Tribolium castaneum: one gene and its partner. The main gene of each other region encodes a partner of the protein of the gene in region 2 in a complex. Links are inferred from orthologs where the notes say so. Each region holds a gene or a part of one and is shown on either strand. Other genes may lie near its edges.

Region 1 (3,505 bases), about 3.7 Mb from region 2:
AAAAATGTGTGTGTTTTGAGGTTATGTATTTAAAATAAAAAATGACGAAATTTGATTTAAAAAAAATTCTCCTTGATGAGGAAAGAAAAAAGATTTGGAAAGAATCAGTCGACCAGGAAGAATACGGAGAAAATGTGGAAATATTTGAAAAACTCCAGAAAAGAAATTTAGAAGTGGTCACGAAAAAGAATAAACGATTTGCGAGTAAACAAACAAGAAACGTGAGCAAAGAAGGAAAAATCAGTAAAAAAAAGGCCAAAAAGTGGAGAGAAGGAAACAGTGACACAAAATGTCCGGAAGTGTGTGTAAAAGAACTTCTTTTGCTTATTCATTGTTTAGAAAATAACACACTTATTACGAGAAAAGAGGCTCAAGATTGTATAGAACGTCAAAGTTCAGCATTTGACCTCTTCTGGGACTCACCAACACAGATCTTAAGACTTGTAAGAAAATGTGTTTTAACCCAAGAATGGTCAAAGATGACCTACCTTTTACTGGTGCTTTTAAATTTTGACAGGAAATACATTAATATTATTAAAAATGTAATGAATTGTACTTTTTATTACAATATTTATAACTACTTTAATTTCAGATGGTCAAAATTATGATCAAGTTTAATCCACTAATAAGGGAAAGTGGATTAGAAAACCAGTTCAAAATGTTAGTCGAATCATCAAACAAGTCTATAATTATATAATAAATAAATAAAACAATATTTGTACAAAAGTCTTATTTATTGTGGTTAACATCTAGATCACAAATCACTCTAAAATCAGCAAGGCGTCCTTTCCATCAATCTTCCTCTCCTTGCCATGATTCAAACAAAACTCGCGCTTCAAATACGCGAACAAAATATCAGTCACAAGAAAAATCTGTGCAATGGCAAAGGCCAAAGTGACTCCGAAATAAAAGTTCGCATTTGCGGAGTTTGAATAAATCCACAAATGCCACAAAATCGGACCCAAAGCTGTCGTAATAAGAAAAATCACCCCAACTAAAAATCCCTGCTGGGAGTAATTGAACAAGTGTATGAAACAGGGCAAAAGACTCAACACGAACCCAACATCGCCCAGACACGGATACGACTTAAAAACAGAAATCAGACACAAAATCGCGAACGTTAGCAAAAACGGGTCTTTGCGAAATTTGACCGACAGTGGAATTAAATACAAAACGGTTGCGTTTATTTGAAACGAGCTGATGAACAAGTCGCGAAAGTGGTCGAACATTTCGGTGAAAAAATACCAAAACAAGCCAATATTTGGCTGCAAGTCTGGAACTGTTAGAATGAAACCGTACACGTTTTTCATAAATGCGGTTCCGTTGCTTAAACCAATCGAAATGGTTATAAAAGCCGCAAGTGTGGCGATAAACAAAATCGGGGTGAGAATCGCCCGAAATTTGCTTTTGTAAATTCCGTTAGAGTACAAAAACAGTGGGATAATTAACACAATGGGGTAGAAAGACATCATTGTGCATATTGCCAGAGACAGTACACTCAAAATAACGCTACCGCTTAACATACAGAACAAAAACAAAGCGATGAAAAAATTATGGAACACGACAGTTGACTGTCCAACGCAGTTAAAAATCGTGTATGGATTAAACAGAAACGCCGATGCGACAAAAACGGGCGAATTGACGAAATCAGAGCCCGATAACAGGAACTCCTTACTGTTCAGAGCATATTGTTTTTTATTCTCTTCTTGTTCAATAAATAAGTGAAACATGTATTTCTTCGCGACGAAATACAATACCACGGCCGTTCCCGCATCAAAGGCGAGAAAAATAGTCTTAATGTCCAACTTCCACCACTGTGTCAACACTTTATAAAATAATATTGTTATCGGAGCTTCATGAAGTAAGTCCCCTTCGTATGGATTGATACCTTTGGACTGGAGACAAAGCCCTTCGGACACTCGCTTCCAGGAGTTCAGAGGTGTAGATATTTCGATGTGGTTCGCAATTATGGACTGATATCTCGAAAACATGAGCCAATACCGGATACCAAGCCCCGTCAAGTACATGAATAAAACGGTTCCGCCTTTGTAGCAGTCTTGCTCACATTTTTCGGTTTTCCCATGTGCCATTATTTTACACTTTTCAGGGGCAGTTTTCGGAAATATTGGCGATTACCGGCCCACTAAATAATTGAATAAAGTGAGGTTAGTATCGTGACAGGAACAGGAGTGACATTGTGGCTAAAGCAACGAGCAATACAAACATGAACTAATTTGTGCTAAAAGTAAATGGAATTACATTGGCACATTTTTATTACAGTTTGAATAAAACAAAACAATGTTTGATAAATTAATGGTTACTGTACAAAAAACGTGGTTTTGTCCGCCTATAAATTAGTCAATCATGAATACGCGCGACTTGTCTCCAAGTTTCAATGCTTTTCTTCTGGCCGTTCAAAATTCAGATTGTTTGCAAAATTTTGACTCGATTTGCACGAAATTTTGCTCAAAAATAATTAATTAAGCAGGAAAAAGTGCTACTAGTCGTTTAAGGTTGACTGCTTTTTTTTGGTAGGATTGGAAAATTTGAAAAACTAGGAATCATTAAACAGCGAAGACGGATTTTGAATGCTCAGACAATTTTATGCCAAACAGGTTTACTTTTGACATCAATTTTTGGTTTTTGTGATCGTGATTAATTTTTTGATTAGTAGATAAATTAGTATACAGGTGCTCAAAAACTGGCGCACCAACTCAGTGGTACGTTATTGATAAGCAAGTGCAGATTACGGGAAAAATATTGAAAAAATTCCTAAAGTTATATTTTAAAAAATCTGGAGCTACAAACTTATTGTGTTAACTTCTTTAGTTTTCATTATTTTTTTATGTTTTATGTTTCATACCAGGTAATCGTTCCGTAACAAAACGATGAATAATTATTTTTAAATTTACTATTAGATTTTAGCAGTTTTTTTAATTTAAAAAAATTAAAATTTATCCAAAAAATCACAATGTGTAGATGTGCCAACACTGGGAATTATTTCCTAGGAAACCGTTTCAAAAATAATTTATTTTTATTGTTGCTCAAATTCTATTGCGATTATGACTGTTAGACAACGTTGCCACATATCATTTATCTAAAATCCGTTATTTATCAATAACTTTAATACAAAGAATTTTTTTACTATTTTTACCTTTATATGTAACCAGTTCTCTATCACACACCATTGAGTTGGTGCGCCAGTTTTTGAGCACGCTGTAGAGGCAAATTTTTGTTTTATTCGAATTATTTGTACCACTTCGCTTAATTGCCACAAATTTTTACCTAAAATTAAATAGTTTTCTAGTAAAATGTGTTACAAGTTGTTTTAGATTAATTTCTATTTTTTTTTAGTAGAATGGAAAAATTTAAATTGGTAGTATTTCATCTAATCGTATCCTAAAACCACGTTCCTTACAACAAAAATAAGAAGAGATTTGGGATCTTTAAAGAATTCTACGCCAAATAAGCATATTTTAATTAAATTTTTGGTTATTATAATATT
Region 2 (4,586 bases):
AACACTTTATTAAAAAAAAGTACATTTAATCGATTTTCTTCTTTGGAATGTCCTGCGGCACTTTCGCAAACGCAACGATCCAGAAACACAACCAGTTGGAAATAAAAACACTAGTAACGACGCTAAAGAGCCAATTTCCATAAATCATAGAATCCACTATACTGAAAACGATTGCCTGTTGAGTCGCCGCTACGCCCCTATGAAAATTATCTTCGAATTTTTCACCGGGGAACATGAAAAATGTGTATACTAACACGGTAGCGGTAAGCACGACTAGAGGATGTGCCAGCAACCACACAATTTTTTTGATGGCAGAGCATAGCCTACACCGCGTAATCCCGATAATTAGAGCCAACGGTACATAAATAATGGCGCAAAATAATGCCAGAGAAAAATTATTCATGGAAACGCAAATTAAAGTTGTGCCTAATTCCAAAAGCGATAAAATATTTAACACCGACATACTCTTCTCGCAAGCTTTGAAGGGGATAAAAAGCGGCATTGTTAGCAACACCACAGATATGGCTATAAACCCGTAAAACAAAGACGCATCGGTTGAGTAATTATATTGGCCACCTAGCGTCGTTAATAGCTGAGGGCTGTTCATAATCAATACCCCCAGAACATGAGACATTAGAAATACGCAAAGGATTGAAATAAAGTTAACGGAATCGGGATCTGGAGGGTTGTGAGTTTGAATTTCGGTCTGGAATCGCGTTTCCATTTCTTTCCAATAATTTTTCGAATCGCGCGGTTTCACGCTGCTCTTGACTTGTTTTTTCGTCTCGGGGGTTTTTGTCTTCTCGTCTTCCGTCTCCGCTTGGTTCTCCTGAAGTTGGCACCAATTGGCGCATGCTTTGATGAAGAGAGCCCCCGCAATCAAACAGATAGCAGGCATGTATAGCCCTAAGTTCAGATGTTTATTAGACCCCTTATTTTTGTACAAAGTGATCAAAATTCAATGTGATATCACGTTTACACTAGGGCCAACTAAAAATAACTACTGCCAACACAAACAATTACTTTTGACCACTTTGTATAAAAAAAATTGTGCAAAAAAAGTTATTTACCAATTGAAATAAATCTCTCTGATGAAGGTAACAAGTAGAAGAAAAAGCTTTGATGGAAACGCTCTAAAAGGTTATTCAAGCTACGGAATATCCCTTCAATAATGCGGCCCACAATTGGGAATCCGGCTTTATTGCCCCCTTTTAAGGGGGTGCTTTCAAGAGTCAGGGCTTCTATGCCAAAACGGTGATAAAGGCCATGATTTCCATTTGGTATCTAAAATTTTTTACTTAAAATTTTCTCACACAATAAGTGATGTGTACCCCGGTAGCCTGAGTTGAAATCATGGCTAATAAAGTCTGGAATGAGTAAAACCAGTCGTTTACGGGATCTTTCAAGTGTTTGTTGGGCCTGTTTTTAAAAGTATGCGGTACTCCCTCTTTGAGCAGCATTTTAGCGGCTAAGTTAAACAAATCCAAGTTGGGCAGTTGACCATTTAAACCTTCAATTTTGATATCCACTTGGCTAATTGCCGTTTCGTGCAATTCTAAATTAATAGCGGCTTGTATGGCACCTGCACGTCCCTTAATGTCACCATGGTCTAAAGTACCGTCATTGCCACAGGCTACTCCATGGTAGGCTTCCAGCCAAGCTTGCATTCCTAACTGCTCGTGTTCAGTAATTAAAAATATAATATCCTTGGCCCAATATTTCTCTCCTAGAAGAATATCCTGAAGGACAAATGCATACACAAGTACACAAGTGTCTAGAAAAAAACGCCAAAAATTTGAAGGAGCGATGCCGTAGGAATTCCTAGACTAAGGACTCCCACACATTAATTTATTCATGATACTACATGTACTACATGTAGATTTTCTAAACCAAAAAAAAATAAATAAAAAATAGTACGACAGAGTAAAATTAATCTAAATCTAACTCGTGTCTTAATAGTCATCATTGCAATGCTCGTTGATTTAATTTTAATAATTTTATAAAAATTTAAAACATGGGTACCCATTAGAGATTTTTCCGATATTAATTTAAAAAACCACCCCCTCATAACTTTTGCGTTTTTCCCCGCACCCTGAACAATAAATCGACATACTATTGGCAAACTTGGCAAATGCCAACATTATGGCAATGGAAGGTGCGGTGGTGGCGTGGACGCTCAAAGGGGGTCTATATGGCACACTTAAGACTAAAGCTTCAGTGCTGGAAGCCCGTGCCGCTCGTAAAATACCATAAACGTTTTTACCAACAAATTTCTAAAAAAACATTAAATATTCAACCGCCAAGTTTTGTTAGAAGTAATTACTTGGGGTTTTCCCAGCGGATAATTCAGTGTAAAGTTGTGAGTGTAGGTATCTAATCCAATTTGCTTCATTTTGGCTAAAAGCCAGGGATACGGAATGGAGTCTTCGTATTTCTTCATTTCGTCCAAAAGCTCGCTGTGGTAAGTTTTTGCGATTGCGTCTTCCCGAAACTCTGATTTGACGAGTCCTGGCAAAAGGGCGTTTTCGGAAAAATACGTCCCTGCGTTCATGGGGGTGTACGCAAGGGAACAGAACCAACCGATTCCGCCTATGTATAGCAAGACACATAGTTTTGTGTAATATTTAAGAAGGGCTTTGGTTAGTTTTCCCTGACCGGCACTGGGATCTGTTAGCAAACCCATCGTGACTTAAACTTTATCCAAAAAAGAGCTGGAATTGAAACTTCACAGTCAAAATTAGCCACTAATTACATTACAGGAGCCGTTTAGATAATTTTTGTTTACATTAACATAACCTTAGAGTAGATAACTTGACGTTTGGTTGCTACCAACGCAACTGTCTAAAAAAACACCAGCGGTTTAAAACTGCCCGCCTTTGAAGCCACAAACGAAGTGGCCAAGATAAAGGGGTAATTTTAAAATAAACTCGGATGTGAATATATAAATAATACTATAATTTCATGTATAAAAATAAAATGTACATATTTTAAAATAGACTCATATGAATAATTATATACATTGGTAAAATATATTACTTTTTATAATATACAGTATGTATAAAAAACTATGTTTTAACATCATACAGATAGACTTACAACTATGACTAGCTGATTGTACAGCAATGAATTGTTGCAAAATGAGGTAGATTATTTCATTAGTATCGGAAAATGTAAACTGAAAGAATTAGTGTGTCATTGACTTTTGGCTACGTTGGATATCACACCTGTTTCATAATAAATTAAATTTAATTTAGCCACGAGTCAATGAAATTTCCAATTTTGTACTTGATCGTGTTAAGTGGTGAAAGTACTTTTTACAGATATGCTTGATTGGTAAAATTTAACAATAGAAAATATCTAATAATTCTCATAGCATAACAATAATATACAATAATTGTCAATTGTTTTCAGATGGATTTTAGCACCAGTGGTAAATAACTTTGGAAACAATTTAACAAATAAATATAAATTTACAACACAACATATTAAGTGTTTCTCAGATCAAATTATGCCTAATATCGTTATAACAATTGCACGTAGCATACAATTCAATTATCCCGTTCCACGTAAGTACTCCTTTTCTTCTCAACCGATTATGTGAAACTCTATTGTAACATAATTTTGAGTAAAAGTCAAACAGCTGTGCAATTGTCGAAACAAACGTAAAATAATTTAGCAACATAAACAATATTTTTGTAAAATCTCAATAACGTTATTAATTTTTGGCAATATTCACACGTTAATGAGCTGCCTAAATGAATAAAGAAGACGAGAACAATTTTAGCAAGACTAGAACAATACATGTTTGAATCTGGTTACGTATCCTGGTAACTTTTTTGGAATTGGTGAAAATATTGCCAATCGAAAAAGGTTATAATTTCAGTTGGTAACTTAACATACCATACAATGATAATTTAGCTGTGTGCCACCTATTTTACGAACACAATTATGGTATGCATATCTTGTAGAAAGATATTACGGAGGAGGTGGAGGAGGAGGTTGAAAAGTTTGACTAAACCCGGGCAGAGGTAAATTTTTATCTTCCGACGGTTCTAGCAGTCTTTGTAATTCAGGATTATTTAAAACACTTTGACCTAGTATTTCCTCGTCAGGGTCAGTTAAACTCTCTCCTATCATCGAAGGTTCCCCAATTTCCTCCAAAATCGTGCTTCCCAAGTCTTTTAGTTCTTCCTGTGACTCCGGCGAGGGCAGAAACGTTAAATTCCCCTCCGTGTCCGGCTCCAAAAACCGCGTCAACGGATCGAAAGTCTCCTCTTGCAATATGCTACTCACATCTTCAAACGATAGATCAATTTGTTCGGGATTTGAAAGACTGCTTTCGAAAAATTCGGATTTGATCTCCGGGTCGGTTTTAATCACTAATTCTGGCTTGACGATCGTTTCTGGAATCTCACTTTTAATGGCAGTTTCGAAGTCTTCCGGCGGTACGTTTTTCGAATGTGACTTTTTAATGTGTCTAACTAGATGGTCCTTCCGGCCGAACCTCTGCGGACAGAACTGGCATAAAAAATCGCGCATGCCTGTGTGTACAACTAGGTGTCGTCTGACGTCCTTTTTCGTGAAGA

The links.
Region 1: the proteins of GAA1 (region 2) and PIG-U are in contact, whole or in part, in a cryo-EM structure (PDB 8IMX), measured with the Homo sapiens proteins. The link is inferred for Tribolium castaneum from reciprocal best matches to the Homo sapiens genes GPAA1 and PIGU. Residues at the interface, in NP_003792.1 of Homo sapiens: Gln245, Leu310, Arg311, Arg313, Phe358, Leu359, Ile371, Ala389, Leu390, Trp393, His397, Leu500, Ile504, Leu508, Cys512, Leu515, Thr516; in NP_536724.1 of Homo sapiens: Tyr349, Ile355, Phe356, Cys360, Ile363, Val364, Leu367, Leu368, Val371, Leu372, Leu375, Ile377, Tyr378, Ala379, Gly380, Ser381, Phe386.

The regions. Positions count from the first base shown.
Region 1 is NC_087396.1:9,929,086-9,932,590, reverse strand, and holds PIG-U (phosphatidylinositol glycan anchor biosynthesis class U protein), read right to left. Parts: upstream 2,263-3,505; 5' UTR 2,091-2,262; coding exon 762-2,090; 3' UTR 716-761; downstream 1-715. UniProt on the Homo sapiens protein: Component of the glycosylphosphatidylinositol-anchor (GPI-anchor) transamidase (GPI-T) complex that catalyzes the formation of the linkage between a proprotein and a GPI-anchor and participates in GPI anchored protein biosynthesis.
Region 2 is NC_087396.1:13,608,969-13,613,554, forward strand, and holds the start of GAA1 (glycosylphosphatidylinositol anchor attachment 1 protein), read right to left. Parts: upstream 2,840-4,586; 5' UTR 2,684-2,839; coding exon 2,324-2,683; intron 2,274-2,323; coding exon 2,114-2,273; intron 1,727-2,113; coding exon 1,332-1,726; intron 1,285-1,331; coding exon 1,071-1,284; intron 907-1,070; coding exon 26-906; 3' UTR 1-25. Other genes in the region: zinc finger protein PLAG1, read right to left, coding at 3,976-4,586. UniProt on the Homo sapiens protein: Component of the glycosylphosphatidylinositol-anchor (GPI-anchor) transamidase (GPI-T) complex that catalyzes the formation of the linkage between a proprotein and a GPI-anchor and participates in GPI anchored protein biosynthesis. Binds GPI-anchor.